Linked DNA regions of Mus musculus. The protein of the gene in region 5 interacts with the protein of the main gene of each other region in a pairwise test. Links are inferred from orthologs where the notes say so. Each region holds a gene or a part of one and is shown on either strand. Other genes may lie near its edges.

What was found.
Region 1: the proteins of Xiap (region 5) and Ube2w interact in a two-hybrid assay, tested with the Homo sapiens proteins (2 studies listed by BioGRID and IntAct). The link is inferred for Mus musculus from reciprocal best matches to the Homo sapiens genes XIAP and UBE2W.
Region 2: the proteins of Xiap (region 5) and Rfc5 interact in binary tests that used the Homo sapiens proteins (3 or more experiments, as listed by UniProt). The link is inferred for Mus musculus from reciprocal best matches to the Homo sapiens genes XIAP and RFC5.
Region 3: the proteins of Xiap (region 5) and Ercc3 interact in binary tests that used the Homo sapiens proteins (3 or more experiments, as listed by UniProt). The two-hybrid records come from large-scale screens. The link is inferred for Mus musculus from reciprocal best matches to the Homo sapiens genes XIAP and ERCC3.
Region 4: the proteins of Xiap (region 5) and Nek6 interact in binary tests that used the Homo sapiens proteins (3 or more experiments, as listed by UniProt). The two-hybrid records come from large-scale screens. The link is inferred for Mus musculus from reciprocal best matches to the Homo sapiens genes XIAP and NEK6.

The regions. Positions count from the first base shown.
Region 1 is NC_000067.6:16,615,378-16,621,521, reverse strand, and holds the start of Ube2w (ubiquitin-conjugating enzyme E2 W), read left to right. Parts: upstream 1-2,270; coding exon 2,271-2,285; intron 2,286-6,144. UniProt on the Homo sapiens protein: Accepts ubiquitin from the E1 complex and catalyzes its covalent attachment to other proteins.
Region 2 is NC_000071.6:117,377,855-117,383,326, forward strand, and holds the end of Rfc5 (replication factor C subunit 5), read right to left. Parts: intron 5,007-5,472; coding exon 4,925-5,006; intron 4,612-4,924; coding exon 4,482-4,611; intron 4,060-4,481; coding exon 3,982-4,059; intron 2,968-3,981; coding exon 2,913-2,967; intron 2,053-2,912; coding exon 1,956-2,052; 3' UTR 1,291-1,955; downstream 1-1,290. UniProt on the Homo sapiens protein: Subunit of the replication factor C (RFC) complex which acts during elongation of primed DNA templates by DNA polymerases delta and epsilon, and is necessary for ATP-dependent loading of proliferating cell nuclear antigen (PCNA) onto primed DNA.
Region 3 is NC_000084.6:32,237,769-32,243,689, forward strand, and holds the start of Ercc3 (general transcription and DNA repair factor IIH helicase subunit XPB), read left to right. Parts: upstream 1-2,558; 5' UTR 2,559-2,625; coding exon 2,626-2,653; intron 2,654-2,861; coding exon 2,862-3,067; intron 3,068-5,195; coding exon 5,196-5,432; intron 5,433-5,921. UniProt on the Homo sapiens protein: ATP-dependent 3'-5' DNA helicase/translocase. Binds dsDNA rather than ssDNA, unzipping it in a translocase rather than classical helicase activity. Component of the general transcription and DNA repair factor IIH (TFIIH) core complex.
Region 4 is NC_000068.7:38,509,873-38,515,843, reverse strand, and holds the start of Nek6 (serine/threonine-protein kinase Nek6), read right to left. Parts: upstream 4,148-5,971; 5' UTR 4,051-4,147; intron 3,969-4,050; exon of another isoform or gene 3,865-3,968; intron 1,267-3,864; exon of another isoform or gene 1,186-1,266; intron 1,112-1,185; exon of another isoform or gene 1,086-1,111; coding exon of another isoform or gene 980-1,085; intron 1-979. UniProt on the Homo sapiens protein: Protein kinase which plays an important role in mitotic cell cycle progression. Required for chromosome segregation at metaphase-anaphase transition, robust mitotic spindle formation and cytokinesis.
Region 5 is NC_000086.7:42,066,114-42,072,026, reverse strand, and holds the start of Xiap (E3 ubiquitin-protein ligase XIAP), read right to left. Parts: upstream 4,192-5,913; 5' UTR 3,971-4,191; intron 3,877-3,970; exon of another isoform or gene 3,671-3,876; coding exon of another isoform or gene 3,545-3,670; exon of another isoform or gene 3,155-3,544; intron 786-3,154; exon of another isoform or gene 524-785; intron 1-523.

The DNA.
Region 1 (6,144 bases), on a different chromosome or scaffold from region 5:
TTGGCTCCAGTTGTCCCAAAGATGTATTTTACAATTCGTTTGAATTGCTAAGTGGAATTAACATTACATTTTGTGCTACTTATGTTTTATCAAAAATACTGCTTTTTAAAAGATTTTCTAACTTTTACTTCATCATGGCTGAGCCTTTTTCTAACATGGTTGTGTCAATTCCTTCCCTATTGTTGGGGATTCACTTCCACTTCCCCTTTTCGTAGTATCCCACTTTAAGGGGCCATATCCACTAATAAGCCATGTTCTGGGAAAAAAATGTGAGTATCTCCATCAAATAACGGGCAGTCAAGAGCTTTAGGAACACTTATTCTCACTGAAAATAGCCTCTACATCACTCCTTGCTCCTGAGTATGTCGGCGAACAGTCTGTTATATATTTTTGCCTTTTGTTTTGCTTTCCGTACTCAGAGATCAAATCCAGGATCTCCTACATGTTAACCACAGGTTTTCCCAGTGAACTATACACCCCAGACCCTATTATGTATTAATTAAAGAATAAAGACGATAGGTAGTTATGAGCTGCTTAGAATTTCCTAGGATGTGACTTTGCCTCCCGTGAAGATCCCTTGGACACCTGTGAGGTGGAAACCTGACATTAGTTCTACTGTAAGCAACACCAAGGTGTAATTGCTTTTCTTCCTTCTGAGTACCTTGTCTAGTAGGCCATTTACTTTGATGAGGTCATAATGCCATGTTTGTAGAGTCTCCTTTGTCATTTACACCTTTGAGAAGAATCAACTTTTAAAACAACATGAACATTAGCTGGTACATTACAGCCTGAGATCACAGGGACAAAGATCTCTGGAAGGCCTGGTGGAGACTCTTTCCTGTAAGCGTACCTCATCACTGGGCTATGTGGGCACTTTGTTCCATGTTGTGATGGTAACGACATACCTGAACTGATAGCGGATATGCTTCTGGTTGAGTCCTGTACTCCAAGTCATGCAAACCCCATGGAAAAGTTCCTCCATGGTGAAGAGAAACCGTCTTGAATATTACACCACAGAAAAACTGGCAGATTTAGACATCTTTTCCTCTCTTGAACACATTTCCTTACGGATGTTCTCAGAGGAACATCGTGCTCTAGCTTAAGTGTGAGAGTGATAACCTACATCACCATTATATTTATATTTTAGAGAAATGTCTAAAAATGAAGCCAAGTCAATAAAAATAAAGATTTAAACTTTCATCCGGGTAAAGTAAAAGCCTTCTACTCAACATGCCATCCTCTCTGATTCCTTTAGAGACAGGACATGAGGTGCAAGCTTTTGGCTTCCATTTTTCGTTTGGTATTTAAGTAAACGACATCTTTGGTTCCGGAGGAGCTTTAAAAATGTGACTTCTGATAAATGCTGGCAGAACTGGTGCATTCCTAGAATAAATTCTGTATGCTCAGCGATTTCTACTCAAGCTCACTCATAGGTCGTCTGATCATGCAACTGCCCACCACAGAATAGGGTGAAGAGAAATCTAGGCATGGCAGAAGGTTTAAGTATTAAGTATTAAGTATTAAATTACGTAAACTATATTCATTATATTGAGATTTCACGGCTAGAGTCAAATTGTTAATCAAAAGTAAGACTGATGTAACAACGACTCTTATGGTATACCTGGACTTTACAATTTAGAGGGTTAGGGAACTAGAAAATTGCACACAAAAGGGAACTCCATTATTCACCCTCCTTCCCTTTCCAGCACGTTTCAAATCCAATTGTTCTTGCTTTTAAGATCACTGCTCTCAGTTTTCATTCTGTCCTATAGGGAAACCTGTGACTCTCTGCCCCTCAAAGTAGAAGCTTCCTAGGTCTGCAAATACCAGAAAGCATCTCCAGGCGAAGTTGTATCTGCCTCAGGAGCGAAAACACGGTAGGTGTAAAAAAGACATATGAAGGGGGTGGGCTGTAAATCTTACACTTGTAGCTGGAAAAACAAAATGAGATCCCCTCCCTGCCAAATGCCCGGACAGCATTGTGACCTCGGCATAACGCTTCAGTCCGACCTGGAGCAGCGCCTCCGCCAGCACTGAGGGTGGGCCCGCGTATAAATTGGCTGGGATGCAAGGTACCTAGGGAGCCCGGCCTGGCCCCGCCCCGCCCCGCCCCGGGCACCCGCGCGCTAGCCAATCGGACACGCGGGCCCCTTCCCATCGGCGACTCCACCCCCGTGCCCGGGATGTTGGGCCCCCGCGGCGTGACGCGAGCACGGCGGCTCCGCCCCCTGCGTCTCGGGCCTCGCTGGCCTTGGGGGGATGGTTTCATCATGGCGTCAATGCAGGTGAGCGGAGCTGCTGCAGCGGGGAGGGCGAGGGGGCCATCGAGACGAGGTGAGCGTCTGCGCGGGGTCGGCGTCCGAGACCTCTGGGCCTGGCTCCGGGCGACCTTCCCTGACCTCGGGGCGTCGGGGGATCGCCTGGCGGCGAGCCGAGCGGGGGTGTCGGCCGGTGGCCGCGGACAGTAGCGGCCGCGAAGTTGTGGCATAAAGGCGGCTTAGGGGGAAGAAAGGGCGAAGTTCGTCGTGCGCTTCGCGGTGGGGGCTCCGCTCCGCGCCCCTACGCGAGGATGCCTGCCGCTCGGCTCCCTGGCCACCGCCGGGATGCTTTTCCCCTCGCGCTCCCCAGCGGGGTGGAAACAGCTGTGCCCGCCGCCGTCACCCGCGGTCGGGGCGGCCGGAGACCGGCAGAGCCCCTCGCCGAGGACGGCCGCCTGCCCACGGCGCTCCGCGGCCTCTGCCCGGCCTCCCACGCGCAGCCTCGGATCGCCGGACTCATGCTCGTTCTTCTCTGATCTTCATCCGGTGCCCGGTGGGTGCCTCCTTCTATCAGCCCGCACTCTGGGCATTCCCTGGCAGCCCACGTCTCTTCTTCGAAGCCGCCCTTCGTCCCTGTCCCCAGCGTCCTGTGCTACCACAACGTGCGAGCTCGTGGGCCTGCTCCTCGGCCTCGATAGAAACTCGCCCTCTTAAATTTTTTTTTCTTGCGATGCCCCACCCTTGCGGGATTGGTAAGGCCGTGGCTCCTTTGCCTTTCTTTCCCAGACCTTTAAAACCTTAGTTTGGTAGGAGACGCCTGTTAACCTGTGCTCTGTCAGACTTGAAGGTGTTTTTTGTAGCTTCCAACTTAATGTATTCCCCCCCCCCCTTGCAAATCCAATAAAAGAAAAAATTTTCAGGCAAAGATGGCAACCACAATTGTAGTTTCTAGAGATTGCATTATCTATAGCCGGCATTTAATTTGCAGATAGGGCTAGCGGTGTTAAAGCACATAGGAAGAGAGAGTAGAACTCTTGTAGCGTGTCAGCGGAACGCTTTTTGGAGTTTTAACATCATCCTCGAGTAACATCCGCATTTTCCTTAGAATTTTTGGTTTTTGTTTCTAGAAGAATAAGCAAGATCTCGTTGTTGGCGCTTCTCTGCTAGCAATGGTTTGCATTCTTACGCATTTCCCTCCTTCCCCTGTATCTTCCTTCAATCAGCTTTCCTTATGGTATTCTTTTTGCATTTGCTTGTACTTTTGGCCTTTCCTGCAGTAGCATTCTTAGGTGAAGAGGTGTCACGAAATGGTGCAGTGAAACAAGAACAATTTCAGGAAACGTTATACTTTACTAGTCTCCCCAGAGACGTTAGAGAAGTTTCATCATTTGAGGCCAAAAAAGGAACTGTGGAACATCAGTTGACAGCAGATGGGCTATATGATTGCTTTAAGATTTTTATCTGTATTAAGACATTATTTGTTACTAACACTTGACGGTGATCTGTCTTAAGATACAGGCATTATTTAAGACTAAAAATGAAGATTAAAATCCACACTGGGATTGTATCTGGCATGAGAGCTGGTTAGCTTTTATACTTAGTTTTTGGAAAAGGCAGATTTGTTTGTAAGAGATTGCTATTTTTGGAATTTACTTTGTCTTCAGCAGTGGGGGAAAGTGCTTTTTATGCCTGTTTCTATGCCTCAGGCAGTGCTGTGGAAGAGTAGCAGCGTCTTTCTTTTGTTGGATTAGAGTGGGAACGGATCCTTTCTGTTCTAAAGTTAAATCTTGACCTTTTATATGTATCTCTTTTAAAGTATCTGATCATTTTTCCTGGAAATAGTAGCATTTTGACACAGATTTATTTCTTATTTCTTAATTGTGTATGTTATCTCTGGGTGGGTATGTGGGTATGAAAGTACCTGTGTAGGCCACACCTGCTCTGGATCTGAGTTACAGGTGCTTGCCAGGTATTGGCTATGGGTGCTGGGAATCAAACCAGGGTCTTCTCAAGAGTAGTTCTTTCTCTTAACTTCTGAACTGGCTCTCAGCTCAATAGCAGAATCACTCTTTGGTGTGGTTTTCATTTGGTATCTTTGCTCAAAGTTTATTTCCTGACCATCTTTACAGCAGAAGTTAACTCTTTTCAAAATAACTTAACATAACACTATAAGTGATCAAATGTGTTCATTAATTCATCTTACCCTAGGGGATATTGTTTTTGCTAAAGAAAAGGTTACTTAAGCTGCTGTATTTTAAAAACATGCATACATATGTAATGTGGGGTTTGATTACTTGGTAACAATGAAATAATTTTTATATATAGTAAAACCAAGTAAGGAAAGTCTTCACTTCTAACTAGAGAATGTGGACTTTGAGATTATAATTACCTTTATGTTTTTGTTTTGGCTTTTCTGGAACTAGACCAGGCTGACCCTAAACTCTCAGGTCCACTTGCCTCTGCCTCCTGAGTGCTGGATGAGATTAAAGGTGTGCGCCACTACTGCCCAGCTTGCTTTTATGTGTTTTATCTTCATTCATTGAAACCGGTTCTTGCTGGGTAGCCTATGCTTACCTCACATTTGCGCTCTTCCTGCCTGGGTCTCCTGAGTCCTGGGCTTGCAGGTTGTTCCACTGTGTCTGACTTTGCTGTCATGCATCCTGCCAGTGCTTCTCAACTTTCTTCCATTCACACTAAGTACAGTAAGATAGATGACGATGTTGGCGGCTGGAAGAGCCCAGCCCGGAAGCTGGCTAGGAAGGTGAGGGATACAGGGTTTTGTTCTCATGCCCATGTGCTGTGGGGAAGCTGCTGTTGCTAGATTCATCTGGGTACAGTTCAGTGGGATGCGTTTCACACCCTGATCCATCCTTTTCCATTTTGCCTCACCTATGCTTCCTACTAGTTCTTTTACAAGCAAAGTCAGAAATCACCAAGTGAGATAATATTTTAAGAATTCTTCCTTTAGAAAAAGCTTTTTTGGATATATTTTAGTTTTATGTGCATGGGCGTTTTGCCTGGCATGTATGTCTGTGTATGCCTGAAGGGGCCAGAAGATGGCTTTAGACCCACTGAAACTGGAGTCACCATGTGGGTGCTGGGGCCTCTGAAAGATCAACAAGCACTCTTAGTTGCTGATCCATCTCTCCAGCCCTAAGAATTCATTCTTAAAAGAATGATTTGCTAAACGGCAATACTTAAAATGGTAGACGATAAAGAAATAGACATAAACTTAATTTTGTTAATTCAGAAAATAGGTTTCAGTGCTAGTAGCACTTGGAAGATGAGTTTAAAACTTTCCTTATATACTGCAAGAGAATTGTTTTATTACTTTTTAAATGTGATTCTGAAATGTTTGTAAAGTTTAACAATACTGGTATATTAACTTTAGCCAAACCCTGAAATTGCATTTTTGGTTTTTTAACTGTATGTGTGTATGTATTTGTATTATATATATTTATTTTTCCATTTCTTATAGCTCATTTCATGTTATGAAACATGTAGTCTGACTTTCATACATATTTTCAAATTTAGTATTTAGCCATTTTGTTCAGACTCCTTTTAAACTAGAAGTTTTAAATTTTACCTGATCGAAGCTGGGCATGCTGATGCAAGCCTTTAATTCCTGCACTTAGGAGGCAGAGGCAGGAAAATCTCTGTGAACTAGGCCAGTTTGGTCTACATAGTAAGTTCTATGACAGCCAGGGCCACATATGAGGCCCTGTCTCAACTTTTTTTTTTTTTTTTTTTTTTTTTTTAACTTAATTGGGATAATAAGGTGGCTGAGTGAGTAAGGCGCCACTACTAAAATTAATCTGGTGTGTTTTCCTAATTTGACCCCTTATATGGTTATGATCTTAGGAATTTAGCACGTAATAGCGGATGT
Region 2 (5,472 bases), on a different chromosome or scaffold from region 5:
ACCTGCCACGTAGGGCATTTCTGCTGCCTATTTCCAGCCAGCGGCTGCATGGTTTGAAGTTCCTCCGTTGTGGTCAGAGGAACTCTGGTGTTTGGTTCCCTGCTCAGCTGCGCGTGGACTGGGCTGAGCTCCTCACCATACACTAGTGCCGGCTTTTGTTTCCTGTAAACAGTGGTTGCATGTGTAGGAAGTAACAAGCGAGTATTCAGATCATACGAGGAGGCGTTCCTCGGTGCATGACGGTCAGATGGCCATTTATCAGCATATTTATTTGTATTTTCTCAGCAGATAGTAAGGTACAACTGTGTTTTCTCAATTGTCTCGAAGAACCAGAGTTCTTAAGTGGCCCAGTTGTGGAGCCAAGTCTAAGTCGTGTGGAGTCAGTGCTGACATCACTGGCTTGTGCTGTCTGTCACATGTGTTTGTCTCTGCTGCTTGACCTCATGGGATGTACCCTCCAGTTCAACTGCCCAAAACAGACAGCCCCTTCCAAGCACCGTTCTTTGACAGCGGTAGCAGCTACCTATTCAAGACGCCTCACACAAAATCTGCCTTAGAAAGTTAATATATTTTAAATTATTTTAAAAGAAACTCAACATCTTATTCTTTGGCCTTTCTTAATTGATGCTTTATGGAGGCAGTGTTAACATTGTACAGTGTATGCATAGAGGAGTCTCCTCTATTTGAAGAACAATGCAAAATGAGGCTTTCATTGAAGGGAGAAAAGAGAAAAAAAGAAAAAAAAAACCTGTCTCTGTTCTTTTTTTCTCTCTCTCATTAAGAAGCAAAACAAAACGTTTAAACCAAACATAAAAGGAGTGCAGTAGCTGGGCAGTGATGGCGCACGCCTTTAATCCCAGCACTTGGGAGGCAGAGGCAGGCGGATTTCTGGGTTTGAGGCCAGCCTGGTCTACAGAGTGAGTTCCAGGACAACCAGGGCTACAGAGAAACCCTGTCTCAGGGGAAAAATTTTTTTTAAAATGGAAAGCAGGACACTGGTGGCAACTCTTCCACATGGCTGGGATGCTGCCTTCACTCAGCTTGAAACTTGGGAGCAAGCTCTCCATGGACAAGAAAGTCAGTTTCTCCCTTTGACAGCACACACTGAAAGCACCTCCCTGAGATGCATTTTACCCATGGTGCACCGGGTGCCCTCCAGTGCCCCTCATCCGGCCCAAGGGAAGTCTGGTCCCAAGGTAACAACAGTCTGAAGGCCTAGAAGGAATAGTCTCTAAGGAGTTCCCTGTGACACAGTGTGACACAGACATGCAGGTAGACAGCCCAGCACGGTTAAACTCTGAACACACGCTTTATTCTTCCTGTGAAGGACTTGGTAAAAACACAGCCCAGCAGTGCGGCAGGAACGTCTGCAGTGCCCCATTCCCCCCAACAAGTGAGGTGTGCAGTCTGAAGGCAAACTGTTGTAGTTTCTTTCCTATTTTCACAATAGAATTTGGAACCTGCTGGCAAGCCTTCTAAAAGTGGGAAAGGCCACTGCATTGTTCCTGAGACAGAGTCTGTCTCACTAGGCTGACCTGCAGCTGCCTGGCAATTCTGCCTCAGCCTCCTGGGTCCTGAGGTTATAGGCATGTCAGCACTTTGGGCAAAAGACTGATTTTGAAATTTTGTAATAAAATATTTGATTAGAAACCTACTAGCACCCATTTAGAGTTGGAAGACAGGACGCAACTCAGCTGCAGCCAATTTGTCATCCCAGTGACTGATAGTAAAGACTTTGAAGCAGCCCTCACCACGGGACAGGGTAGTTTCCCCTATAAAGACAAGCAGTGTCGATCATTATGGATTAAAGTTGCCCTGTCCATCCCTGCTCCAAACAGCCACAGAGAGCAGTACCTAAATGCCTGCAGAGAGACTTCTGTGACTGGGTTTATCCAGTGGCCCAGGGCAGCATGTCCTCTGTCCTCCAGTCACCCAGGGGCCAGGCCTCAGAGCTTCTAGGCCTCTGCAACTATCAGGTCTCTGGTGACTTGAAAAGCGGCGATGAGGGAGCTCAGCTGTATCTTCTCACTGGTGCCAACAGAAAGTCTGTACCTGGGAATAACAAACCCAAGTTGAGTATAAAGCACCCAGGCCCTGCCTATAAGGGTGAGAATGTGGGAGCTGCTATGGCCTGCCATGGAGGCACTGGAGCGGACAGACCCACCCTGGTTAGCACTGCCGTCTGTGTCCTCCAACGTTCTTCTCCCCAACATTCTCTTGGTTGAAGCTGCCGAGGCCGGATTAGAAACCCAGCACCAGCAGGTTCTGAGTTGCACTCGGCCCTCTACAGACAGACAGGGCAGGGTGCACAGGATGGAGGCTTAGGAACTGCTACAAGGAACTCTGCAGATTCCCCTCGGCTGTGGCACTGCAGCAGAGAGCTGCAGGTTCACTGAAGGGCAGTAAAGCAGGACACCAGCAGCTCATCTTGTCACTTGTCACTCCCAACACAGTGATAGGAAATGACCTACTTTGCCTGCATGAGCAAGTGACAGCCTATTGGAGCTTGTGATACTAGTATTTGGTTGGAGCCCAGTGTGCTGTCCACTTAATGACAGCTGCCAGAATCGCTGGGGAGTAATGACAGTGTTTACTGAGCTGGGCAAAGTGAAAAATTGAGTCTGTTTGTTTTTCTCCACTGGGCTCCTGTATGTCACATTGCCTTAATAAGTGGAGTAGCTGGCCATCTCCAGACGACCTGCATGCCCGGTGTGAGGAGAGCCAGGAGCTCAGCTCAGGCAGGGACCGCTCTGCGCTCATCATCCTCACACAGCCTGCTCCACAGTGCAGTTGGCACTACCCCACTACTTGTGTGAATGGCACACAAGCTGAAACTAAAGAGCTTACAACAGGAGAGGGGACAGCCAAAGAAGAGGGGACAGCCAAAGAACTGAAACTGGGAACACACTCACTCGATGTCTGCCATTTTGGTCAATAAGTGTATCCGAACTGAAGATGGAAAGTCAACTGAGGGAAAAACAGAATCAAATGAGTGAGATTACCTTGCGGGCGGGCGGGCCGCACACACACACACACATACACACACATACACACACACACACACACACACACACACACACACACGACTTCTGACAAGCCCAAGCATCCCTCAGACCCATGCATACAGATCATGAGACGGATGAGCTGATCGTGGTGTGGGCGCCACTGCTCTTTATCACACACGTGCTGGGGGCAGCTCAGGAAGTGTTCCATCTCCTATGCCACCAATAAAGACCCCACAAACATACATGGCCCCATCCCCAGTGGTCATAGAACATGAATAAGTCAGCATTGTCCACAGTGGGTGACAGCTATACACTAACCAGAAAGCTCATGTTACCCAGTTTTGAGGACAAACTTAAGCAACAGATTCCACACAGGCTCACAGTACTGGGGACCTGAGAGCCTCTCCATTTGGAGGTGGCGGCTGGGAGACAAAAGCTTCCGAAGGCTGGCATCCCCTCCCCACTCTGAATCATCTCGGGTGATTCTCAGGTTCTGCCTATGCTGAGACTGAGCCCTGAAATGAAGCAGGAAGCAGGAACTTAAAGGCAGCTTCCTGGAGACTGTCGAGTTTGCAGGAACACATCTTTTCCCCTTTGTGGGATGCATCTTAGAATGTGACTTAGAGGCTGGAGTCTGCTGAATGTCTAGGATGCATCAGTCCTGGGTACGGACCCCAGAAATAAGCTCAGTGGAGACAGCCCAGTGGTAGACCACATGTCTCCCATGCGCAAGGCCCTGGGTTCAATCCCTGGTGTGGGAAGCTTGTAATGAGAATGAAATGTACAGTACAGCCTCCACGGGCTCATTTCCACTAACCCTATCAGTTACAGATATTACAAAGATTTTGGACAGAGCCATTCAGAACTGCTCAAGATTAAGGGTCAGTCACTGTCTTCCCGTTTCTGCTCTGAGGCAAAGATGTCACACTCTGTAGCTATCCCAAAGCTGTGCCTCCTCCCGGCTCCACATAGTTACCTCTGTGTACAAACAAGTGAACCTCTGTCAGGATGTCATGCAGCGCCAAGCCCTTCAGAGTCTTCAGCTCCATGATGTCTGGGGAGGAGCAGCTAAGGGGAGGGGAAGCATTCCAGAACCTGCTGCAGGGAGGCTTCCACACCAGCCCCTAGTGGCGACCTGGCAGTTGGGCTCTTCATCCCAGGACAGTAGCAGCAGGCCCCATTCTAACTCGCCCCATGTGATCCTCAACATGCTTTTCTAAAAGGGATAGCCCCGCCTTGGCAGAGCAGACAGCTCAGAGGGTAACACAGCCGCCTGTAGCTTCTCATCTCACTGCACAACAAGGCAGTGAGTCCGCTTAGACTGTGAACGGGGAAGCTCCGGACAGCCATTGAGGAGGAGAAGGGCACTCTGCCTGGGGATGACACCTGTCACCTGGGAGGTATAGGTGCTGGCTGCAGCCTGGGCTTCTGGCCACCCTGAGCCCTAAACCTAGCAGCAGTTGCCCAAAAGGATACTTTTGTAGGCAGTGGTGAAGTCCTGATTGAGCATCCAGTCCAGTATATTGGCAATGTCCGTCTTGAGTGGGTGTCCGGTGCAGGTGTAGACAGTCTCCTCTGTCACCTTCCCAAAGGCCATATTGGTACTCTGCAGGAGGAGGGCCCAGGGGCTGTCAGCAGCTGCCCTGCCGCAGTGACAAGGCACAGGCCAAGCACAGTGGGAAGGAATCTTGAACTCTGTGCACTGGAAGGGCTGCCCTCTGCTGTGAACACTACAGCATGTGGCGCCCTCCCATAGCTTAGAGCAGCGCAGAGCCTTCCCATCAGAACACACAGGCAGGGAGCTAGTGCAGGCAAGGGGAATCTTACTAGGAGTCTGAATGAACGTGTGGACTAGCTGGCTGGCTTTCCTGTAAAACTATTTTGAAGCAATGGTTTAAGTGCCTGCAGTGTGACTGTACCTGAAGGATGTTCAAAGCCCTTCGCATGTCCCCACTGGACAGAGTGACAAGGGCCTTCATTCCATCTTCACTTATATCCACACTAAAAGGAAACAGGCAGAAGAGTTAACTAAAGCCCCCTCTGCAAGAGCACAGACTTCACCCACCACGTGAGCCCTGAATGATGAAGCTTCAAGGAAGGAAAGCACCAAAATGGAGGGGACAGCACTCTCCTGCACATCTAAGCTACTTGTGCTTAGGAACATGTGTCACATGAGTGGCCAGACCCCAGCCAGAGCTTTACTATGGACCAAGGCTTTAAGGAAGTGGCTGCCGAGAGACATTTCTGGGAAGAAAGAGGATATAGCTGGGCATCTCATCACCCAGAATGGATGTCTCAGAGCCTTCCCTTCTAGCCAGCTGGCAGCACGTACAAAAGGACTCAGCAACAGTCAGTTCCCACGACAAAAGAGAGGCGACAGCCTGCAGGAATATAGGTGGGGGTCAAGAACAATCAAAAGGGCTCAGGAGGCAGAACACCGAGGGCCCGAGCAGCCAGGAGGCCCCAG
Region 3 (5,921 bases), on a different chromosome or scaffold from region 5:
GCAAACCTCCAGCAGCATGATTAATACTACTATAGAGGCTTTGAAAGTATGGAGACAGGTTCTCCATCTGGATTGACCTCAGTGATGTACTCTTCCATACTCCCAATGAACGTAAGGTAACACCTGCCCCCAGCTAAACCATCTAGGCTAGGAGGTATGATCTGGGAAGTCTCCAGAGTGTGAGAACCTGCCTAGCCCATACAACCCAAAGCTGGGTGTTGCCAGAAGAGGTTCCTCAAGTGCAAAGTGGAGGTACAAAGAAGGGGCCACTCATAGACACTAGATCCCTTTTCAATACAGACTCAGTAGCAATATAAACAAAGGAAAGTGAGTTCACAAATCCAGACAGCTGACTTTCACTCCTCCATGCTTGCTTGCTTCATGCATATGTACACCCACTGATATAAGAGGGTGATGTCGGTTGTCTTATCGTTTTCCTCATTTATTTTGGTGTGTGTCCACGTGCCTTTTTCATTTGTTCTCCAACTATATTGAGGCAGGATTTCTCACTTGAATCCAGAGCCCAGTGATTTGGCTTGCTCCAGGGACCTTGCGGTTTTTGTTTTTTAATTCTTGTCAAGACTTACTTATGTGAGTTGAGTGCTTTGCTGAATGCATGTCCCCCATGTGTGACTGATGCCTGTAAAGGTCAGAAGAAATCGTTGGATCCCATAGAACTGAATTTGTTTGTGGGAGCTGGGAAGCCAAGCAGCCACTTCTTGAAGAGCAACGGGTGCTCTTAGGTACTGAGCTATCGCTCTGGCCCCAGCCCAGCCCAGCCCTGGCTTTAAACTCTTAGTTCTTTCTCACTGAGCCATATCCCCAGCTCCACTTCTCCTTACTAGTTTTGCAACAGGATTTCTTAAGTCTAAAGCTCATGGCTTAGACTGGCTGGTCAGTGAGCCTCAAGGATTCTTCTCTGCCCCTCAGTGCTGGGATCACAGCTGTGTAATGCCATGCCTGCTTGGCTTGTGTGGGCTCTAGGGACCCAAAATTAAGTCTTCATGTTTGTGCAGCAAGTACATTAACCCACTAAGTTATCTTCCCAGCTCTTAAAAAAAATCCAATTTCATATTGCTCATCTGCTTTTTTTTGTTAGCGGAAAGGGTGTCGTCATAACATTTTCATACATATGGCATACTTGTTATTGTCTTCCCTTCTGCCTCTTTTCTGGTCCCTTTCTCTTACCCTTCTAATTTCTTATCTAAGTTTTGCTGTTTAAATCATGCCACCTGGGACATTTTATTATAGAACAGCAAGCAGGCTTTGTAACTGCCAGTTACATCTGATTTGCTCCAAATATGAACTCTGCCTAAGGTACATCATTTTATGAGTTGCTGAAACCAAAAATCTTGGGTGTTAACTCTTTCTTCCTCCCCAAATCCCGTATTATCCCAGTTGGCAAATCCTATCCATTTCTCATTAAAATAAACACAGAATGAAACTATCTTCATTTCTTTTACTTAGACCTATTCCAAGATCACTCTACTACTGTTTTTGGTTTTGGTTTTTTTTTTTTGAAAACGTGTAACATTATTTCTTGATTTCAGGTGATGCAATTAGACATGATCTACCACACTTGGTTTATGTAGTTCTGTGGCTAGAACCTGCTAGATATGAGGGGAAAAATTGTTTTGCACATGTACACACACACCCCCGCAGCCAGCTGTCCAGAATTTGAAGGCTCAAAGCAGTGGACTCTCTTTCCTTTGCCTTCTTTTAAAATTGGACAACAGCAGGGAGGGGCGTGGTGGTGCACGCCTTTTACCCCAGCCCTCGAGAGGCAGAGGCAGGCAGATCTCAAGTTCGAGGTCAGCCTGATCTACAGAACGAGATACAGAACAGCCGGGACTATACAGAGAAACCCTGTCTCAGAAAAGAAAACACAAACAAACAAAACACCCACAACAAACCAAAGATCTGGAAGGCTGTGAGGTTTGACCCTAGCCAATGGGGAAAAGTCACTAACAAATTAAAAACTACATCAACTGCCTGTTCTGATGTAGTGTTAGTCCCTTTGGGTTCTGCTACACTCTCTTCCAAAAAGAATTGCCTTGCTGAGGTACTCTTCATGCTATCCTTGGTGAGACACCAAGATTATTCTTTGGTTCCGACATAGGCAAAAATTCTACCAAATGAGCCACCTGCCCATTTTTATTTACGTCAGAACGATGTGTATTTCCCACCTCTCTCGTTCGGAATTTCGTTTCCAGAAACCCGGCGTGGTGGAACACGCCTGTAATCCCAGCTCCCGGGAGCCTGAGGGAACCACCCAGGTCCGACCTTCCTTAGCGATCTAAGCAGTGGCCTCAAAAACCAAAACAAAGCACTCCGTAGGTGGAAGCAGATCTCCGTCCCGCCCGATCTATAGGGCAAATAAGCTCAAGGCTCCTAGAAGTACGTAAGGCTCAAAACAAATCGTAGAGCGGAAAGTAAACACTCCAGGCAAGCGCAGCTCGCCTCCGGTCGGCCCTGTGGTTCCGCTCTTCCGGTTTAAGACTTCAGAGGCGGGACTTCCGACCGTCTGGTGCTGTATTTCCGGTATGTACCGGAAGTTCATTAGCAAGTAACTCCTGCGGAGAGGAGGTGGTGCGGTGTGCCGGCCTGCCTGCATCTAGAGCTGTTATGGGCAAAAGAGATCGAGTGGACCGCGGTAAGCACTACTTGTAACTGTCATTGTCGTGGGGTTTTCTCTGGCCTGTTGTGTCCGGGAGATGCGGAACTTAGCCGGGTGGGAGGCGTTTGCCGGACGCCGGTATGCGGGTGGCGCTGGTTTAGGAGTTCTTGCCAGAAGTCTCCTTGGGTGGTGAAAAAGGAACCCTAGAATCCTGCTGGGCTCACTTCTGTGTCTTCGGTCGCAGACAAAAAGAAATCCAAGAAGAGGCAGTATGAAGAGGAAGAGGAAGACGAAGACGACATTCCTGGGAACGAGTCTCAGGAGGCGGTGCCCTCCGCCGCTGGGAAACAGGTGGACGAGTCCAGCACCAAAGTGGATGAGTATGGAGCAAAGGACTACAGACAGCAGATGCCACTAAAGGGTGACCATACCTCCAGGCCCCTCTGGGTGGTAAGCATGGCCAAAAAGCCTGCGCGGCAGCTAAATCTTGGACATTCTTACACCTCCAAAATTCAAACGTGAGAAATGCTGCTCTTTCTGAAGCAGCCGGGAGAGACGGCTGTCATGGGGCACACTGGAGTAGCTGGTGTGATCTGGTGTTCTCCACTTCACCCCAGCCCCCCATATGATGACAAGCCAGATAACTCAGGAGGTAAAGGCTCTTGCTGTCATAGGAGGAGGAGAGGCCCGACTCTGGCAAGTCACTTTAGAGCGGTGACATGCATGCACTCACATACACGCACATACCCCACATACAGTCAGTAAATGACATTTATCTGTTTGGGTGGTATATGTGCATACCCTGTGCAGAGAGACGTGCAGGGATTGTTTACAGAGCCCAGAGACTGATGTGAGATGCTTTTCCCAGTCACTCTTCACATATCTGCCCAGCTCCCTGTTTTGGCTAAACTTACTGGCCAGCGATGCCCCCCACCTCCCACCCCAACTTAATCTGCCTGCCCGCCCACCCACCTATCTCCAGCCATCACAGCTCTGTGGTTGTAGGCATGCATTCCTGGTTTTATACTTAAGTGCTGGAGATCGCAACTGAGGTCCTCATGCGAGCGAGCACTTTATACACCAAGGTAGCTCCCCAGCCACTAAATAGTTGTTTTAGATGACAATTGATTTACACTTCTTAAAAAAGATTTTTAACATTTTATATGTATGTGTGTGTGTATACTTGTTTCCAGAGGAGGCCCGAAGAGGGCGTAAGATCCCCCAAGCCTGGAATGACAGGCTGTTATGAGCTGTCTGATGTGGGTGCTGGAAATGGAACCTGTGTGTTCTGCAGGAGCAGCCAGTGCTCTTAACCACTGATCCATCTCTTAGGTTCTTTTCAAATTGATGGTAGATAATGTTTTGGTAGCTAAGTTTCCTTGGCTTAAAATACATCATGATCTGTACTCAATTTGCATTCTAGCCAAAAGGCCTTTTGAGAATAGTATGTTGGAAGATTTCCATATATGGAACATTGGGAACCTTTTCTGCCTACTCTTCTCTAATTATAGGAGCAGGGTCCCTGCAGTTTCCTGAAGGATTGATTGCAAGAATATCCTTCCCATTGGACACTCACCCTTCTTGATAGTGATGTGACAGTCTAGTGGTGTAAGAGTCACCTTATTCACCTGACATAATTGTTGTCTGGAGGCTTACTGCGCCTGTCTGCTAACCTAGGCCTAGTCCTGGAAGCTTCTAGTCTCTGTGTAATCTAACCTAGGCCTGGAATGTTTTCCCTCCTCTGAGACTTGAAGCTGAATAAGCTCGCCCTTTCTAGTTCTTTGTGAGCTCTGACTGGCCAGTTTAACTCAGCTGCTCTGGCTCAGACTCCTCTTCAAGCTGACTGCTTCAATCTGGCTTCTCTCTTGGCTTTTCCTGAATTGCACTGCTTGGCTTCATATTAACTTTAGGAATCTCTTCTAATCTTCTGGCTCCTTCTCATTCTCTGACTTGTTCTGTTCTCACTGTATCTAGCTTGCACTCTCTCTATAACTGTCCCAGTAAAACTGCCTCCTTCTCCCTCTTTGTGCTGCTCCACTCTCAACTCTACTGTACTGCTCTCCATGAACTCCGCTGTATGCTGTACTGGACTCTCTCCTCCTGTACTGCCTGTCTCTCCCTTAAGTAGCTTCCCTTTCCTCTCTCACCTTTGAGAGTTGGGCGTATCCTTTCCTATCAAGTCTCTCTGATTTGTCACTTTTTCTGCCACTCAGTTAAACATCACTTTCAAACATGGGTACTTCCTTCTGCAAACTAACTTTACCTCTATTGTTTGGGATTAAAGGTGTGAACTAAAGGCATGCCTGTATTCTGGCCAGAGGGATTAAAGGTGTGTGCTGAAGGCTGAGCCATACAACTAGGAGAAGGTTTTTTCTTTTCTTTTCTTTTCTTTTCTTTTCTTTTCTTTTCTTTTCTTTTCTTTCCTTTCCTTTCCTTTCCTTTCCTTTCCTTTCCTTTCCTTTTTTTTTTTTTAGTAAATAACACAGTCTCAGGTTCGCAGTGTGATCAGAAATCCTGTGACATAGTCTCTGCAGCTCATTGATATTCTTGCCTGTTGTGTTCCCTTGATGCCTTTTAGGCTCCTGATGGCCACATTTTCTTGGAAGCCTTCTCTCCAGTTTACAAATATGCCCAAGACTTCCTGGTGGCAATTGCAGAGCCGGTGTGCCGGCCTACTCATGTACATGAATACAAGCTAACCGCCTACTCCCTCTATGCAGCGGTCAGTGTTGGGCTGCAAACCAGTGACATTACTGAGTACCTCAGAAAGCTCAGTAAGACTGGAGTTCCTGATGGAATTATCCAGTTTATTAAGGTGAGTTACTAGCAACTCTTGTGCTCAGGTGCGTACTTACTATATGTTGTCATTGAAATGTCTGATTTGTGTTTCCTTTGATAGCAAAATAGCTTCGTGCCTAGCTGCTGCCACTTTAGATCCAGCCATGGTTCTGGCTGAGATCATGTGTTTTGTGGGCTGCTCCAAGCCATGGGAGTAGAAGTTCAGGTCCACTATGGCCAGGGTTACTTGAGAATCCAGCTCTGGATAGATGGAACTATAGCCTGCATGTACATATCAGAATCCTAACCCCAAATACCTGTGTGTTAGTAAGACTAAATGAGGTCATAAATGTCTCCCCATTCAGAAGGTGCTTGTCTTTATTAGGAATTATACAGTTGTCATAAGTCCCTTCTTTATGGGACTGTGTAGAGAGAAGGTGACTCTCTTCTAGCCAGGAGACCTTACCACAGCCTGAATTAGCTGGTCCTGGTCCATTGATCCTGAGTAGTTAGAACTCTGAGAACA
Region 4 (5,971 bases), on a different chromosome or scaffold from region 5:
AGGGTTAAACAATTTGGGGAAAAGGCAGGCGCCTAAGGCTTCCCACAGCAACTACCCGCCCCTTCCCTGTCGGCATTCCTTCACACTCGCTGGAATTCCTACACAAAGCCCCCTTTTTCTTTTCTATGAGGTCACCAGCACATAGAAGTCTAAGAGAAAGAACAGTTCCCTGTGGGTAAAGCCCTTGGAACTAAATGAATCCAGTGGCCCCCACATGCAATCTGACGGCCCCCTCAGGGCACAGCTCCAGGGGTGGTGAACAAGGGTTTTAGGGGGTGTTGAGCTTCTAACCAGCACAGTCCAAGAACCTGCCTAGGAGAGCAGGTCCTCAGCTGCCAGACCACGTGAGAAGTTGCCTGTGGGGGGTTAAAATCCAGAACTGGAGTCCCCAGTATGTGTGGGGCTGTAGTCACACAGCAAGTCCTCTTGGAGTGACAGATGTCACACTGCCAGATCACATGCTCAAGTTCAAGTTCCCAGGATTAATGGCACAGGATATTAGACTGCTAACGGATGTGTCCAAATATGACTTCTGTCTGGGCCTTGGGTCTGAGAAGGCTACAAGTTTATCCTGAAGATGGATTATGAGTGTGTCACCAAATTCAGACAGGAATGGAGAAAGCTTAAAAAAAAAAAAAAGAAAGAAAGAAAAGAAAGAGGAGGGAGGAAAGAAGGAAGAAAGGAAGGAAGGAAGGAAGGAAGGAAGGAAGGAAGGAAGGAAGGGGGAAGGAAGGACAGACAGAAGATTTACCTGGGTGACAGAACTAAGCTAAGAACTTAGGAGATCATCCACTCAAAAACTTCAGAACCCTTTACAGAAACCCAGACCACCCTCAATGGCCCCTCCACAATCCCCCTGCTCCAGAGCCCCAGTCCTAAGGATCAGCAAACTCCCAAGTATATGCACTTTGCTGCCTATGATGACATCAGCAAAAATTAAATTGGATAAATAAAAACATAGAACAAGGCCTATTTTTACCTCCGCAAGTCACAGGCCAGATGGGGAGGAATCTATCAATGCCAGAACCGTGGCTGCGCCTCCCTGTACCATCTATTACTTCACACCTTACATTTAGGCATCGCATCGCAAAGCACTCTGCAAACGACACTCCTGCAAGGGAGAGAGCAACCTTTTCCTGTTAGTGCTGGGCAGGCAGAGCCCCAACCACGCAGGTCCTTACTTACACACAGTCCTCTTCTGAAACACCAGAAACGGAAGTAAATGAGGAAGTGAACTGGTGGACCCAGTTCTGAATGACAGGTGACAAGGAGTCTTTGCAGAAGTGATTGTGTCAGAGATTCAGAACGGAGAGTAAGGATCTGAGATCACTCTCCATCTCCCTACAAGGTCAGGGGCTGGGCTCTTCCTGGGGCCATGTCCAGCTTTGTCTCCAACCTATATCTATGTGTTTATTTAATCAATTTATTTATTTAAATGGGATCTTGGTGTGTAATCCTGGGACATGTGGTAATTGCTATGTAAATCCAGGCTGGCCCAGAACTCAAAGCAATCCTCCTGCCTCAGCCACAATTATGGGCGTGAGCCACCACACCTGGTTGTAACCCATATCTAATCTTGAATGATTCACCAAGTCCTCCACCCTCACCTCCCTCCTTGGTCCAACCTGAAAAGAGGAGAGAAATATTGTATTATTCTACTTTTGACAGTGGTTTGACCATCCTTGGCACTTGGAAAGTACCTTCACTCTGGTGGCTCAGCAGTCTTTGGGAAGACCTAGCCCCAAATTCTAGAAACAGGCTGGTCTGCAAAACATGGCCTGTCATAAATCGCTGGGCTTTACAACAGGCCAGAAGAACAAAACACAATAAAGGTAGCCAGCCCGTCCTAGAATCAGAGCTACGAATTTAAATCCTGACTTTGCCATCTATCAACTTACCTGGACTTTACAAGTTCATGGGGAGACTATAGACTCTGTCCAGACAAGTCTGGGTTCAAATTCTGGGTCTACCGCTATTCTATAGCCTCTCTGTGTCCCAGTTTTTTCATCTACAGAATGGACACTGTAACAGTGCTCATCTAACAGTGTTGGTGGGGAAAAGGAAAAATAACTTCAAACTTTGTGCACCAAGCCCAGCACAGGGTGCATCCTTAATCATGGGGGACCGGGGTCGTGGTGCTACCTTCCCAAACTATGCCAGCCAGTTCATCTCTGCTAGTGTCTGTTTCCTCGTATAATAGAGACAATAACCTCTGACTTATGGTGAGCCCTAATGAGGACAGGAATGTTCAAGTCCTCAGTGCCCAGGCTGTACAGCTTAGGAAGTCAAATGTCAAGTCCTGGGCCCAATGAAGGAGGAAGGCCTAGAAGGCAGGCAGGTGGCTCAGACTTCGGCTACTACCCTTTCCCTGGTGGCCTGGGACACAGGTTTGATTTCTCTATGAGTCAGATGCCTTGGTCACAAACCCAAAAACAGAGTGGAATCCAGGAGAGTTAAGGACCCCAAGAACCTCTCAGCACACAGTAGGTACTCTGTAAACGATTCAGCTGCTTACCCTCTTCCTTTCCCACACCATATGCCACCTGGGAAAGCCAGCATCTCCATTTCTGGAAACCTAAACAGCTCTAAATCCTGGACAATGCTTAAGTCTGAGACTTGGGCTTTTTAAAAGACAGCAAATGACTTTTGTAGTCATCTCTGAAGCAGACGGGGCTCGGAGGCTCACAACCACAGGGACCATTTTAAATCCCGGGCCTTTTCTTCTGGGAAGTTAAGCAAGAACCTTCCCAAATGTTTGCCGTGGGGCCCTCTGCCAGAGAGTGACTCACTCCTCCGCTCCCCACAGGCATATTTTATTTGGGGGTGGGGGATCCAGGGAGAGCCTGGCCCCGGTGGGGGAGGGGAACAGTTTCAACACGTCCAGAAGGTGGGGATATTTTTTCTTCTCCAGTTTTCGGGACAAAGAGGAAAAAAAAAATGAACATGGGTCTTTTTTTGTTTCCTTCCAGGTTTTGTCTTCTGGACGACGATGTCCAAAGTTCACTGGTTAAGTTTCTCCTGTTGGGAGTCAGGCACCCATTCAATGAAATTCTTCTCCCATTAGCAATAGGGTTTTTAACATGCCCTTTTACACACACCAGGCTCCTGTGAGGACATTTTCCCCTCAAAAAGTCACCCTGCATTTTGCAAGTGGAGTGAAACTTTGTACATAAACTTTCTAAAGTTTGCTCTAACGCAGTTAAAACTTTCAAACACACATGCACAAACTGTCAATCAAAACTTCACGGACAGCCCTTAGAGGATGTGTCCCAAGCATGCTGTCACCCATTTGTTATGGCCCTCTGGGGCTCGGTTAAATCAGGGAAATATGATTAACTTAGAGGAGCAGGCAGAGAGGACAAGTATCTGGGGCCCTGGGTCTCCCTAGGGCCTAACCCCTAGGTATGGGGAACAGAGTCCAAATCTGGCCTAGCTAGAGACAGCCACGAACAAAGCCAGGGAACTAAGACATATTTAGAAAACCTCAATTCAAGTTCAGCGCAGCCCCCTCCTCAGCCTGCGTGGCCATGCAGAGTTCTGCCAAGGCCGGGCTAAGAGGCTTCCAACCAAAGTCAGAACCTGGGGATCTGCGGACTCACAGAATCCGGCCCAGCACCCTCTCTGGACAGGGTCAGCCGGCACATCACACACACACCGGCCTGCAGTGTGGAGTGCACAGTCTGGATCCTAAACACACTCTCGTATGGAATTTGTACACTTTTGCCCGTGCACGTGTGCACACACTCACTCGGGAACGTTCAGACACGTGGGCACACGTACTCCTTGGCATCCACGGTAAACACTCGATAAACGGATAAACCGAAGCCGAGCCCGTCCACCCGCACTGGTCCACCCCAAACTCACAGCCCGGGCCCCTGATGTGCACACGCACGCACTCCCGCGCAGCTGGGCGGATGGAGCCCGCCGCGGACACCTCGGCCTCCTGCGGGCGTCCCCGCCGACTCCCCGGGCACGCGCGCGCGCCCACAACGCCTCGGGTGACAGTCCCACGCCCTGGCCCGCGCCCCTCGCTGGTCCCAGGCCACTCACCGGCGCTGGCGGCTCTCTCGGCGGCGGGCGGAGCGCGGGTCACACGCGAGTTGGCGGCGCTGCGGCCGCAGCTAGTCCGCTTGGTTCAGCCGCCGCTTCTGCGCGCGCCCGCGCGCCCGCCCCTCCCCGCCGCGGGGCCGCGCCGCCCCCTGCGCCCGTGCGCGCGGCCGCCACGCAGGCTAGGGGGCGCCGGGGGCGCGCTCCCAGCCTGGGTGCCTGATCGTCCAACTCAGGTTGGAAGACTGAGCCTCAGACTCCAAACCCTGGGCACTGAACCCCTCTGCGCGGGCTCTAGACTTTATAAGATGCAGATTCGCTGGGTAACCAATTCGTGGACCCTTCCCCACACCCATGGATTCCTCATCAGCTGACATTGCTCCTCTCACAGCCCTCGCAGGACCGAAATTGACCCATTCACAGAGTGCAGCAGGAGGTGAAGTTCAGTTGATAGCATGCTTTCCTAATCTCAGCACTAGGGAAATTGGGCACCTGTAATCTCTGAATTAGGAAGGCTGAGGCAAAAATGTCTGAAATTCATTCATTCTTGGCTATATAGCAAATTCCAAGCCAGCCTGGGCTACATGAGATGTTGTCATTCATATTATATATATATATATATATATATATATATATATATATATATATATATATATATATATATATATGTATATATGTATATATGTATATATGTATATATATATATATATATATATATATATATATATCAGTGTGTACAATAGTACAGTGTACAAATAGTGCCCAGTACAGTTCCAGAAGTAGGCACCTAGGATAAATCCAAGTCCCTGCCCTCAAAGTGCCAGTATCTCCTGGGGATACTGCCTTCCTGGGAACTCCAGGCCAGCCAAGCATCAGTGTGCAGAAGGTTTTTAGGAGTAAGTGGGCCAGCCAAATACCCAGGAGCCTGGGGGTGGGGGTGGGGGTGGAGGTGGGGGGAATGACCTGAGTTTGATCCTCCAGACCCACACAATGGAACAAAAGAACTCCAGCAAATTGTCTTTAACCTCCCCATGTCTTCCAAATTCACACCAAGTGTTGTATGTTAAAAACAAAAAACAAAACAACAACAACAACAACTGCCTTCATCTATGCATACTTAACAACCCCACTAGGATGTCCAAGCTTCTCTGGGGAGCAATTAAGGTGACTCCCACTTCCCCTCAGGAAGGGATGCTCGTAGCTGGGACAGGTATTGCTGCTTCTGAGTGTTCTAGACTGTCTGTGTGCCCAAGCACCTGCCATCTGTCCATTAATCTGCTGTACATGTCTGGGCACGGGATAGCAACCTGCTGAGTATTCAGTTAACTAGTCTACTTGAGTCCACAGTAATCAGGCCCACAACCTATATTACTCCCCCTGCCTGCCTCATGATGTTCAGCCATTGTGAGGGTGGCATCATGCCACCCATGTGCCCATTTCTTAGATGGCTTTAATGAGGCCTGTGAGCAAAGTCCCCCAGGTGGTGAGTGGTTGAACTGGAAGCAGATGACACAGATTTCTGGTCTCAGCAGCTTATTGCTAGGCAACCTTGTTCTAAGTAAGAAAGGCATGGCCACCAGCCCAGAGCAGCCAGGCTGGTCCCTGCTTCTGAGAGGAGGGAACTGGCACCAACAAGTTATCTCTAATGTGCACACATACACTGTGGATTGTGGCATGTGAGGGCACACACGAATAACTGTTGTTTTAAAAAATGAAAGCTTAACGCCCACTCTAGGAAATCTGAGTTTCTCCAGGAAGCAGACAGTAGGATAAATAAGGTTAAGCAGGCCGGAGGCAGGAGGACCAGGGCTGCTTTCTAAGAGGCAATGAAGAGTGGAGGTCTCTACTGAGGAGCAGAAGTCTTTGGAGGAGAGGGTATGGTTAGGGGCCTGCTGTGTTCTGACTGGGTTCTCTGCTGTAAAAA
Region 5 (5,913 bases):
ATTTTGAATCTTTGGAGTTAAGGAGTTCAAATCTGTACAGACAAATAGGTTTAGAGTAAAGCTTACATTTTGAAAGCCTTTTTTTTTTTGACCCAGAAATTGTTCACAACATAATGCTGAATGAAAAACAAGTACTGACTAATGGGGCCCTAGATTTCTGTCCCACCTCAAACTTCAGACATTTTCTAGAACATGCCTTTTTAATTTAAAATATCCAAAACACCCCTTTTATGTTCTGAATTAAATAACAAACATATCTTGTGAAGAATAAAACAAACATGGAGATGCTGAGTCTGAGTGGAAAAAATTCAATTCAGGGTATTTTCCACTGTATATGATTATTAAGTATGATACTAATCTCTCATTTTCTAATTCTGTTTGTCTTCTCAAATGGACATTCACAATGACCTTAATCAATGCTAACAGGTTATATAACACTATTAACAGATTACTCCAAAGATAAACTTTAAGAATTGACAGCTTATCATAATCTTCCTGCCTCAAAATAATAAGGGCACTTTACCATATTCATCTTTTAGTGCTTCTTCTCTGAGATCGGAGCTCTCAAAAGCAGCCCAGGCCGTTCTGGAAAACGTTAGCTTCCTGCCTCAATTTGCCAAGTACAAAAATTCCAAATGTGTATCACTGTATGTAGAATCTTTAGACCCCCTACCACAGCAATACAACTAACTGCAGGAATTCTAGACAAGGATGAAGACACCAGTCCAAAGTCTGCAATATAACTAAGCAATTCATTTTTTTCACCCGAGTCTTCATTAGCATATCTGTAAAGAAGAGAACAGAACTCAACAGTGGGGACGTATCCAGTCTTACTTTTTTCCCCTTTAGTTCTAGATACTGACTTCAGAGCCTAGTGTATACTATGCTGGACTGTGTACACCCCCAAAGCCTTTGAGGCCTTTACCTCCAACCCAAAACATTTACCATTTTAAAAACTGTATAACATGCATGAGGAGTGATAACATGCACAAAAAGCAAACACTTAAGGACCAAACAATGCCACATAATATAAAAGTTGTATTAATTCTGATTCCGCTTGTACAGGTTCCGATGGTGCCCAAGCTAGCTTTGAACTCTTGATCCTCTTCTTACCAAACGCACAGGTTACAAATGTGAACCCTCACTCTGTTTTATTATTTTATGCATCTGGGTCTTTTGCCTGCATGCATATATGTGTATCACATGCAGGCAGTGCTCATGGAAGCCAAAAGCAGCATTAAATCCTCTGGGACTGGAGTTGCAGAAGGCTGTGATAGCGTTTGAATGCTGGGACTAGAACCGGGGTCCTGTGCAAGAGCAGCCAGGCCATGCCAGGCCATATAAACAGTCATCTGTCCAACCCAGCTTTGTTTTTGAGGCAGGATCTCACTACACAGCCCAGGCTGACTTGAATTTGCAATTCTCCTGCACTGACTCCACAGTGTTGTTGGGATTACAGGTGAAAGCCACCACACCTAGCTTTCTTTCCCCTTTCTCTCTCCTATTAGTGTATATTCATTGTACAAAATAGTGGGTTATGTTAGTTTCAAAATTACATCATGTATTTTGATCAAATTTTAACATTTTCTTTGATATGCTCAACAAAACAAACAAACAAGCCCAGAGCCCTATACATGGTAAGCAAGTATTTACTGTACTACATACACCAATACAATCTTTACAGGCATAACCTTTTAAAAATAAGTTTAATCCAAAATGATTCTGTAAGTTAGATTTATCTGTATGTCAAATTTGATATCTGAATTTCATAGTTTCTACACTATTTGATAATCAGGAAGCTTATTCTTTAAAGATAAAGCCAAAGCTTTTTAGCATTTCTCATGAATACAGAACAGTAGGTAAAAGCCAAAAGAGAAACATAAATACAGACCTGTTCTGTGAAGACGAAATAAGCCATACTGGATTTTACAATAAAAATTACTGATAAGTGGATGTTCATAAATACCAATTGCAAATACTTATGTTGATATACATCTATGTGAGCTTTAAAACTTTCTAGAATAAGATCAAACTTGTTTATAATATTCAAACATGTAAGGCACAGGAGAAAAGCAAAGTTTAGTTTTCCATCCGTCTTCTTCAGAAGTAACCAGGGTTACCATTTTTTTTTATCTCTTTCATGGATCCATGTGACCCAATCCAAACAGCTATATAAGCTTATGTTTCTGTGTCTGTAGGTAGAAATCTATCTGACCTAAAATGTTTTCCATTCTTAAGTTATGGGGAAAACAATCCCTGACTCAAGTTTCACATACATGTTTACTACACTGAAAATGACAGAAATGTTAAATAGAATATACTTAGATATTTGCTTAGAGGTTATATTGAAGCAACAGGAGTGGGGTGGCCAGGGAGCTAGAAAATCTGAATTCTAATCTAACTAGCATGGCTAGCATGGTAACCTTACACAAATCATGAAACCCTGAGCCTTAGTTTCTGCTTTGTAAAACAAAAGAGTTGAGCTGAGATCCTTCCCAGCTCAAAAATGCTATAATTCTAAGATGGCCGGCTCTTAACAGTGTTCTCTTGAAACTGGCTACAAAAAAAAAAAAAAAATCCTATTAAGGAGAAAATGAGAAGAATGAAGAAACACTGTAGAACTTTCCAGTCTTTAAAAAAAAAGACATTTCTAGGATTCATTCACTATCAAGGTATAGCTAGGATGTCAGAAGTAGTGCCATAATTGTACTTGAAGGTAAAGTTGTAGATTATTACAAACTGATAGGTTTAGTCTTCCCCAAGGCTTATGTTCTCCTTTTTGGAGATGGAGTGAGCCACTGCTTAGTTTCAGCAATCACCACTCCCTTCCTCCCTCCCGCCCCTGCTTAAAAGAAAAACACCCCACAACTCAAGTAAACTGTGGAGTTCAACGGAGTTAAAGTAATGGAACTGAAAGTCATAAGTGACATTTTTTTCTCTCAGAAATATGCTGGGGAAGTGACCAAGGTGACAAAGAGGCAAAAATTACCAGCTACTTCCTCCTCTGGAAGCTCTTTGGCCCTCATTCTTTAGGGTTCACATGCCCTTGCCAGAAACACACCACCCTGCCCCATACAAGGTATCGAACTGGGGGGGGGGGCAGGGAGGTTGATCAAATCTTTTTTTTTTTTTTAATTATTTTAACTAGATTTACCTTAGGTGTCACGAAGTTTAAGGAGGCTGACCCGAAGGCTTGAAGCCAGCCCCCCTACCCACGGCTTCCAGGGGCAATCCCGGGGAGCCTGGATAGGGAGCCCAGTCCAGCATTCCCCGCGGGCGGGCGGGCGCGGCCTTCCCGCCCAACTAGGCAGAGCTAGCCCAGGCGGAAGGGAGGGGGAAGAAATGGAGGGAAGGAAAAGGAGGGAGGGAGGAGAAGGGGGGGAGAAGGAAGGAGGGGGGAGGAGGAGGAACGCGGGAGGAGGGAGGAGGAGGGAGGGAAGAGCAGAGCAGAGGAGAGGAGAGGGAAGAGAGGGGAGGGGAAGGGAGGGGAGGGGAGCAGAGGGAGAGGAAGGGAGGGCGGGAAACCCACAAGAGCTGTACCCACCGCGCCAAGCACTCCAGTCCTAACTAAGCGCCGCGGGCGACGGGTTCCCGAGGGGAGGGTCCCGGAGGAGGGGCGGCCCGAGCCCGGATCAGGAAAACACAACTCTGCTGGGCGGCGGGCCCCGGCCTAGGAGAAGGAAACGGAAGTCACTATGTCTGTCTCCCTCCCTTCCTTCCTCCCTCGGCCTTCCCAGGCAGGACAGTCCCATCGGATAAAACTCGAAGACCGGAACCAAGTGCATCCACGTCAGGACTTTTAAAAAAAAAAAAAACTCAACCGGTGCAGCCCGCCAGCTTCCCGGGCTCGCCCAGCCACTGGCCTCAGGCCATGTCCTTCCCACCGCCACCCCCATCCCCTCCCCCGGGAGCTCCGCTCCCGCCCGGCAGAGCCCCTCCTTCTTTCCCACTCCGCCATCTTCCAGCCTACCTCTCTGGCCGAGCGGCCCTCGATTAGCGTCGCGCCCGCTCGGGGGACCGCCAAGGTCCCGCCGCCTCCCAGAGCCGGAAGGGGACATCGAGAAAAACCCCAGTCCTCATTATGCAGCCCAACCCCCCCCCCACCCCCCAACCCCCGCCTCCCCAGCTCCAAGCCAGAGCCTGACCCAGCGGCTGCACATGCGCACAGGTCACTTCTCAGTCCCCGCCCCCGACTCAAGCATTTCCTCTTTTAGCATCCAGGACTTTTTCTCTCCCCCCTCCCCACCGCCCCCCAGCTTTTACCTGGACTCTAGGGTGAGGAGTAGGGGAATACAGGTAAGAAGATTAAAGACCAAGGGGAAAAGGGCACAGTACATTGAGCTCTCACAGGATACCAGGGACTCTGCTAGGTATATAACATATTCCTCAATGTTATTTTGAAAACCATGGAAGGCAGAACACCTCTATTAAATTCCACCCTACAGAGGAAACTGAGCCCCGGAGAAAATAATTATCCCAGTATCACCCACCCGACAAAAAAGTAAACTGAGATTAGAGAATCGGTTGTTTCCAAATAGAGGAAGCTAGAAGGAATGACGAGACAGGGAGACAAAAAGAGGGTGAGAGAAATTTGTGAAGAACAAAGAAAAATAATAGAACAAAGATGGAAAAGACACAAGAGAAGATTATACAAAATGGTGATCATGCTATATGCTTGTAGGGTTGTCAGATAAACCTATACTTAGGTTTCAGGAACTTTGACTCTTAATGGCTAGTGTACTAAGATGGATTGGGTATATTTAAAAGGAGAAGACCATGGGCACCATCTGCCTGGTTAAATAATGCTGTCCTTGATGAAAAGGAACTTGGAAGAGAAGACAAAGAAATGTATTTGGTTCTTCAACTTTTGCCAATGTAATATTCCTTCTAATGCAATCTTTTTTAAAAATTATTACATTGTCTTACTGTATGAGGTCAGAGGGCAACTTGAGTCTGTTCTCTCCCAGCATGTGGGTTCTAGGGAAGAACTAATGTCCTCAGATTTGGTGGTGATGCCCTTCCCCACTAAGCCATCTGTGTCCCAGGCCCCCTGGGGTGTACTCTTACAGCTCTGAAAATTGCATCTGACTTATTACAATGAAGGTAATTCCAAGCGAGGGCTGGGAATGAGGCTCAGTAGTAGATCACTTGTCTAGCACATACAAGGTTGAATTCAAACCCCACCACTGCCAACAAAACAACTGCAAGCAAATACTGATCTCACCTGTCCAGCACTCTTAAATAAGCAAACCAACAAAGCTCCATCTTTATCAACAGAAGGGTCAGAAGTTCAAGGCCATCCTCAATAGGAAGTTTGAGGCCAGTCGGAGATGCAAGGGACCCTGTCTGGGAAAAAAAGAAAAGAAAAAAAGTCCCAGGCTACCCTCATTTGTCTTGATATTGTCCACCATCAACTCATTTAGAAGAGGCTGAAGTCGCTTGTACCTGTCTCTGTAGGAGCTGAACAGTATGACTCAACCCTAGGTCTTTCTGACCATTGCCCAGTCTGATTTCTCTGTTCTTAGGCTTGCTCCGCCTCCCCCCCACCCCCATCTAGCTTGCCTGAGGCTGAGTTAAATCTTTCCATTTTGACTTCAGGATAAGAGTTAATCATCTTAGCCTTAATTAAGTTCACTCTCCTCCAACACAGTGCTATGGTGTCTTCTAAGGGAACTATTTACCCTGCCCCAGCTCTTACCAGTTTGCCTGCCCTCTAGTAATTTATTGAAACTAATTTCCTTACCTGAAGATTATATTTTCTCAGTCTCTGTAATCTTTTATTCTTTAAACTTAAGGTGTCATTATAGAATCTTTATTATTGTAGTTTTGGGCTTTTTGTTTTGTTTTAGTTTGTTTTGTTTGTTTGTTTGTTTGTTTTGAATCTGGGTCTCACTAAATAGCCCAGGCTATCTC